Linked DNA regions of Xenopus tropicalis. The protein of the gene in region 1 interacts with the protein of each later gene in a pairwise test. Links are inferred from orthologs where the notes say so. Each region holds a gene or a part of one and is shown on either strand. Other genes may lie near its edges.

What was found.
Region 2: the proteins of prkaca (region 1) and prkar2a interact in a protein complementation assay, tested with the Homo sapiens proteins (2 studies listed by BioGRID). The link is inferred for Xenopus tropicalis from reciprocal best matches to the Homo sapiens genes PRKACA and PRKAR2A.

The regions. Positions count from the first base shown.
Region 1 is NC_030679.2:134,205,143-134,209,256, forward strand, and holds the start of prkaca (cAMP-dependent protein kinase catalytic subunit alpha), read right to left. Parts: upstream 2,817-4,114; 5' UTR 2,791-2,816; coding exon 2,745-2,790; intron 1-2,744.
Region 2 is NC_030680.2:136,484,630-136,488,771, reverse strand, and holds the start of prkar2a (cAMP-dependent protein kinase type II-alpha regulatory subunit), read left to right. Parts: upstream 1-1,258; 5' UTR 1,259-1,555; coding exon 1,556-1,820; intron 1,821-4,142. UniProt on the Homo sapiens protein: Regulatory subunit of the cAMP-dependent protein kinases involved in cAMP signaling in cells. Type II regulatory chains mediate membrane association by binding to anchoring proteins, including the MAP2 kinase.

The sequences.
Region 1 (4,114 bases):
GGAGCTTTTAATTACAATTATTACTGGATGGTGGATTTTTTTCCCCTCAAATTCCAGTTAATAGCGGCGTTAGTGTGGGACTCACTTGGCACGAGTCAGTGGCAGCTGCTGGCGCAACCTACTGTGGAAACCCTGGAATTACTGCCAGGGTCATGGTGTTGGCAATTCCATGGTTCCACAGCATCAAAAAGCATACTGGCACACTATCAGGCACCTCCTACTACTACAGGTATGGGATCTGTTACCGGAAACTCAATTTTAACCATATTCAAATTTTAAAAAATGATTTTCTTTTTCTCTGTAATAATAAAACAGTACCTGTACTTGATCCCAACTAAGATATAATTGCCCCTTATTGGGGCAGAACAGCCCTATTGGGTTTATTTAATGGTTAAATGATTCCCTTTTCTCTGTAATAATAAAACAGTACCCGTACTTGATTCCAACAAAGATATAATTACCCCTTATTGGGGGCAGAACAGCCCTATTGGGTTTATTTAATGGTTAAATGATTCCCTTTCTCTGTAATAATAAAACAGTATCTGTACTTGATCCCAACTAACATATAATGACCCCTTATTGGGGGCAGAACAGCCCTATTGGGTTTATTTAATGGTTAAATGATTCCCTTTTCTCTGTAATAAAAAAACAGTACCTGTACTTGATCCCAACTAAGATATAATTACCCCTTATTGGGGGCAGAACAGCCCTATTGGGTTTATTTAATGGTTAAATGATTCCCTTTTCTCTGTAATAATAAAACAGTACCTGTACTTGATCCCAACTAAGATATAATTACCCCTTATTGGGGGCAGAACAGCCCTATTGGGTTTATTTAATGGTTAAATGATTCCCTTTTCTCTGTAATAATAAAACAGTACCTGTACTTGATCCCAACTAAGATATAATTACCCCTTATTGGGGAGCAGAACAATCCTGTTGGGTTTATTTCATGGTAAAATGATTCCCTTTTCTCTGTAATAATAAAACAGTACCTGTACTTGATCCCAACTAAGATATAATTACCCCTTATTGGGGAGCAGAACAATCCTGTTGGGTTTATTTCATGGTTAAATGATTCCCTTTTCTCTGTAATAATAAAACAGTACCTGTACTTGATCCCAACTAAGATATAATTACCCCTTATTGGGGACAGAACAGCCCTATTGGGTTTATTTCATGGTTAAATGATTCCCTTTTCTCTGTAATAATAAAACAGTACCTGTACTTGATCCCAACTAAGATATAATTACCCCTTATTGGGGCAGAACAGCCCTATTGGGTTTATTTCATGGTTAAATGATTCCCTTTTCTCTGTAATAATAAAACAGTACCTGTACTTGATCCCAACTAAGATATAATTACCCCTTATTGGGGAGCAGAACAATCCTGTTGGGTTTATTTAATATTAAAATGATTTTTCGCAAGCTAACAGCATGGAGATCCAAATTATAGAAAGACCCCTTATCCACTATACCCCAGGTCCCAAGTATTATAAATAATAGGTCCGTATGGAAGTACAAGGAGCATGTTTGTGTGCAAATAACCTTAAGGGCTCTGGCACACGGGGGAGATTAGTCGCCCGCGACAAAACTCCCTGTTCGCGGGCGACTAATCTCCCCGAGTTGCCATGACCCGCCATCCCGCCGGCGAACATGTAACTTACATGTTCGCCGGCGGGATGATTTCCCGAAACCGCCGAAAAAGACTCGCGAGTCTTACATGTTCGCCGGCGGGATGGCGGGTCATGGCAACTCGGGGAGATTAGTCGCCCGCGAACAGGGAGTTTTGTCGCGGGCGACTAATCTCCCCCGTGTGCCAGAGCCCTTACAAATGTTGTCGATTTGTGCACAAAGTTGTGTCTATTTTTGAGCACCGCACTTTTGGTGATAAATATGGCTTACAGAGGAAATCTCATAAAATAGCTGGTGGGTATGCCCTGGTGCTTATTCCCCCAAGAGTACAGAAGGAAGTGTGCAGCTAATCACATCTCTGCCCTCCCTGTCAGATCTGCCAGCCCACAAGATGGGTGCCCAGCCTTCAAGCCAAATGCCATTTATATGAATGGGTGTCACCTGTTGATCACCTGACTGAAAATACACAGGGTGAAAGAGAGGTGTGTCACAAGCAGAGACAGTTTACATTCATATGAATGACAGGAGGTACTGGGTGGGCACTGGGTGCTGAACAAACTACATTGGCAGAGAAACACTGAGTGCCATAAGCCTTACTGCTTAGAGAGATTATGCTTTTACACCAGTAATCACTTACAGCTCCGCCAATACAAAGTTATTTACTATATAAAAAAAGAGAATAAATATCATATAGTACAATGCTAGGGAATATGTTGGAGCAATATAATAATTATATATACATGCATATCCCTTTCCAAGGGTTATTAGGGTGCCCCTCCTAGCAAAAGCAATAAGTACTATATAAAGAGTAGGTACAAAATGTTGCAGTTAAGGTGTAGAGTGGTTGACGCAGTGAGGATTACTTGCAGGAGAAGGTGAATAAGCCTGGGAGATCATACTAATCCTTGTATGGGAAAAAGAGAGCAAGGTGCTGCCTCTGCATAGCAAAATATAACAAGCAAAGGTGGCCAAACTCTACTAGCCAATTCGAAGCCAGTATTTACCGGTCTTCTGCTTCGGCTGGTTGTAAGCAAACACCTGATTGGCGCCCATTGGCTTGGGAACACTCGGGGAGGGGATAGGACAGTGCCAAGAGAGGAGAGTACTCACCACTTTCTATCTCGCCGCCCTTCTTTGCGGTAGCCGCGTTGCCCATGGTGGGGGGCGGACGGGTCCTCTAAGTTCTGGACAAACGCCCCCCACCGATAAGTTTAAGACCTGCGATGAGAAACTTATTCAGTTACCTCTTGATTACACATCTCTCGCCAGTCCAACTGTAAAGCCTACAATATATTAATAGAAAAGGATAAAACATTACAACTTTGTAAAGTGGGCATTAATCACTATCAGTCTAGTGGCCAACTGTGCTGTGGGCTGTTTGGCCGCCACCTCTCTATCTCCATTCCAGCCCCAAGCCCTACTAAGTCATTCCTATACGGAATCACACAGAAATCAGTAAACAGATTTCCTTGTGTTCTCCTGTATATTAAATGGAAATAAAAGTGTTAACATGGTTATAGGACAGACACTATAACAATGTTGTTATCCAGGTCTAGTTGCATTACATTTCCCAAAACCCCATAACAGGTTAAGAATATTGGGAGGGGCTAGGAGTTGACCAGCACATATGAAGGACTTTTGGTGCGGTGGAAGTATGGCTGCACTGGGGCGGTTAGATTCCAGCCGGGCAATATCTCCCCGTGTCTCTGTGAAATTCCTCCAGGTACTCGGGTTACCCCACACTCCAAAATTTTAAAGGCACTGGCTGTAGATAAATCTGCCCCTGGTGTGAGAGGAACATTAGATTGCAAGCTCCACTGGGCGGGGACTGGAGTGAATAATGAAAAAAGGATAATAATGCACCCAAACACCAGGCCTAAATAGTGGCACTTAGATATATGATATTGCCCCCAGAAAGGGAGTCATAAATCCATTGCACTCCCCAAAGCAATCTGCCCCCCTCCTGCCATGCCTAGGGGTACCCCCCAGGCCAGCCCACCATACTCACACCTGTGCGGCACACCTAACAGCCACAGGACCTATAGCAGCTGCCCCCCATGTTTAGGGGTACCCCCCCAGGCCAGCCCACCCTACTCCCACCTGTGCGGCAAACCTAACAGCCACAGGACCTATAGCAGCTGCCCCCCTCCCCCTCCCCTCCCGCAATGTTTAGGGGTACCCCCCAGGCCAGCCCACCCTACTCACACCTGTGCGGCACACCTAACAGCCACAGGACCTATAGCAGCTGCCCCCCTCCCCCCATGTTTAGGGGTACCCCCGCAGGCCAGCCCACCCTACTCACACCTGTGCGGCAAACCTAACAGCCACAGGACCTATAGCAGCTGCCCCCCATGTTTAGGGGTACCCCCCAGGCCAGCCCACCATACTCACACCTGTGCGGCAAACCTAACAGCCACAGGACCTATAGCAGCTGCCCCCCACCCCCCCCCCATGTTTAGGGGTACCCCCCCAGGTCAGCC
Region 2 (4,142 bases), on another chromosome or scaffold:
GAGTGCTATTTTAAAGGAAAAAGAAAGTCAGTCACTTGGGGGTGCCAAAATGTTAGGCACCCCCAAGTGACTTTAACCGTCTACCTTTTACCCCGGGCTGGTGCCCCTGTTCGGAGAGAACAGCACCAACCCGGGGTAGCTGCTTGTGCTTCCTCCTTTGCGATTCGCTGCGCGCGCAGTAGAGTGAAGAGCCAAACTTATATTGAAGTCGGCTTTTTCGCTCTACTGTGCATGCCCGGCCACCGGCAGTTTAGAAAGCGGTGCTGTTTTCTCCGAACAGGGGCACCAGCCCGGGGTACAAGGTAAGCGGTTAAAGTCACTTGGGGTGCCTAACATTTTGGCACCCCCAAGTGACTTTGCCTTTCCTTCTCCTTTAATATCTAATGGGAGCTGCTATCTTGCTAACTTCCGACTGTTCTGCTGATTCCGCTGCTGGGGGGGGGGGGGGTATCACTCGAACTTGAAGTTTATCAGAGCACAGGTCACATGGCTGTGGCACCCTGGGAAATAAAGAATATGGCTAGCCCCATGTGAAATTTCAAAATTAAATATTAAAAAATCTGTTTACGCTTTTGAAAAATGGATTTAAATGCTGGAGAAGCTCTAGTTATTATCATATTGTACCAACAAGACATTTACTTCCTATACTTCTCTATCATGAATACATCTATGACGCAAATATGTCCATTCTGGTACCTGAGGTATTTTTACTCTGCCTCTAGCCCCAACAGCCTATATCTGCCACAGGACAATAGGAGTTTTTCAGTCAATAACATTTGAAGGTCTCTTACTCAAAAATAGCAGCATTAATTCAGTTGCGGTACAACCTGGCCTACACTGAGCTTTTACTGATTATTAGCACCATATTAAAACAAGAGAGCTGCTGCAACACTGAGCGCTCTTATCTTCACCTTTTTACACAGAGCTCATTGGCTCCCAGCGCTCCTAAGCCAAGGCCAGGCAGTAGATGACGCAGAGAGGGGCGGACCCAACGTCACCGGCCGCTGTCACTTATTGGCATGAGTGGGTGGGGCTAAGCAAGTGACATGTAAGTTCTTTTCCTGAGGGATGACAGCTCTGCTCAACTTTTCGACGCATTTACGACAGCTTCAAGAATGGACCGTGGTGACATAGAAGCTCAGGTAACGTTGCAGGTTGACAAAGCAGCCGCGTTCCCCATGTAATATACTGGCGGAAGAGGACGAGGGATTGACGTCAGAAAATAGTCCCTCCCTCTTAGCCAGTGCTCTGCCCTGTTTTTCCCGCCTCCTGTTGCGCGTTCGCGTATCCGGCCTACTCGCTGCTCTTAGGGATCAGTGCGCGCTGCGCTCTCGCCGGTTTCTGGCTGTGTGAGGTGATTCCCTGAGCCGCGGCAACTCCTCAGCGTCCGCTGGTTTGTTGGGGGGAGGGAGGGGGGACTGTGCGAGCGGAGGAACCATCAGGAATATAGAGAGGGGGGGACAGCACCCTCTGGCCTGCTTGGTGGCTCAGCTTATCCAGTGTAAGGTGTGAATAGCAGCGAAACGGGGCTACCTCCCCCCCCAACCCGGGGACGATGAGCATCGAGATCCCGCCCGGCCTGACGGACTTACTGCAGGGTTATACGGTGGAAGTGCTGCGCCAGAAGCCGCCGGACCTGGTGGAGTTTGCGATACAGTATTTCACCCGGCTGAAGGAGAAGCAGCTCCAGGATGGCGCAGGGGCCGGCTCTTTACGGCCTCACGCCCGGGTGGTCAACTTCGACGGGGAACCCATGCAGACCGAGTCTAACGGGGACGAAGAGGAGGACGAGGAAGATGACGATGACTCCGATTTCGAACGTAAGAGGCCGCATGTGCTGTGGGCAGGGCTGGAGTTTGAGAAGACGGGGGGCCCCCGGCAATGCAGGAAGGCTGGGGGCCCCCCCCCGGCAATGCAGGAAGGCTGGGGCCCCCCCCGGCAATGCAGGAAGGCTGGGGGGCCCCCGGGCAATGCAGGAAGGCTGGGGGGCCCCCGGGCAATGCAGGAAGGCTGGGGGGCCCCCGGGCAATGCAGGAAGGCTGGGGGGCCCCCGGGCAATGCAGGAAGGCTGGGGGGCCCCCATTTGAGAGGGCAGACAAAATCACATTCATCAAAGAGCTATCCTGCCCCCCAGCTTTTGTTAATGTGCAGCTCCCTGCCTTGCTCTGCTGGGGCCGATGTGCAGCTCAACACACGGGGGCTGCAGCTTGGATAGGGTTCATGTGCTCATTTAAAGTGCCCCCCCCCCCAATACTGACAGTATGAGAAGTTATTTACACTTGTAACTGTGGGACAAATGTCTTTATCCTTAATAATAATATGTAGTTCTTGACTCTTGCAACAATGTAGCTGAAGTTCTGCCCTAGATCACTTCATTTACCTGCTACTTCTACATTGTGTCAGGTGTCAGAACCAGCAGTGCAGAGAATGGAAACAGCCAGTTTATTTACCTGCTACTTCTACATTGTGTCAGAACCAGCAGTGCAGAGAATGGAAACAGCCAGGCAGATACAGTCAGAACTCATTTACAAATAAACTTCCATAACCAACGTTAATGTATATTGGAAAGGTGCTTAGAATGACATTTCTTCCTTGATGCAAGGAACCGGTTTTGAGTGGCTCTTTCGGTTTTTTCTTCCGCATATTCCTGCCCCAAAGGTGCCCCTGTGATGCTGTAAAGTCAGATGCACTACCTGCATTGACAGAGGGCTGAGGAATTGACATCTCCTCATGTGGAGCAGGGCTTCCAATGTCTTTATTTTAGTACTTTTTGTTTCTTGCCAGTGATTTTTAAAATTACCAATTACAGAGAAACTGTAAATGATTTAAGGCGCATAAGTCATTTTTTGGTGTCTGGTCTCGCTTCATAGCCTTTAGATCTTTAAAGGGGAACTCCGGCTTCTGAACCAAAATTTGTTAAAGAGCCCCACACAATAGTCATTCCTAATATACCTGTCACTGTAATCTGTTCTTTTGAAATACAGTTTTTATATGCTGAAGTCCAGCTGCAAAACAGTTCTTCTCTTTCTGCATCATTTAAAATCCTAGCAGTGGAGGAGGGACTAAAACATTGATGTTACAAATTGTAACAACTTCTCCACAGCTTACAGACAGCATGCAGGAACTACATAACCCACAATGCATTGCACCGTGAAGTTTCTTATTGACATCACGTGTGCAGGGAATTGTGTGATTGGGAGGATGCAGGCAATTACTGTTACATTTTATTTGAGTCTCAAAGTAGTCGGCCAGATCAGGCGGGGCTTAGGGAACTGTTCCAAACCATATTATTACATTAAAAATCATGAAATGGATGCATATTTTAAAATTTGTGTATTGCAAAGTTGCTTGAAATTAGCTTTACTTTTCAAAAAGCTCAAGTTGTACTTGGGTGGAGTTCCCCTTTAATAAACTTCCCTTTCAATGATGTCCTAAAGCCCTGTAAAATAAGGGGTGATTGTATATTACTTAGAAATGGTGGCAAGTACCAAGCTCCTGTGGGCAGGACACACTGTGCACATTTCTTGTCTTTTGTTGAGTTTAAAATAAATTTCAAGCTTGCTGGGCATGTACATGTTTGAGGTCTCCCTTTAGGGCAGAGGACACTACATCAGTATAAGTAATGTACCTACTAGGCAGGCTTATAGTTGCATTGTGGGATATCTGCTAGTGATGCCTGCTGCTCATTCTGCAATAGGCATAACATTTTCTCTTACAGAAACATCACTGCTGGTTATGCTTGCTGCTCATTTTCCAATAATTGCACCCACTTTATATGGAACAGTCTTCTCTAATGTTTGTGAGGTTTCCTTCATAATTGCTTGGTTTATCTCTCTCTGTAAATAATCGATTTACAGATTGTGCTCTCTGAAACCTTGTAGATAGCGTCCCACACAGAGATTAGTCACCTGCGATAGATCTCTGCTACCGCGGGCAACTAATCTCTCCAAAATGCCTTTCCTGTGGTAACAAAGGGGATCACCACTGGAAAGGCATCACTTCCGTCTTCCAAAGTGGCGCGAAGCTTCCTCCTGCAGGCAACTTTGTGGGACTTTGGAAAATGGAAGCAATGGGTAGGCCTTTCCACCAGCTATTCCTTTTTTGCCGGTGTATTTGCAGGTATTTTGGAGAGATCAGTCGCC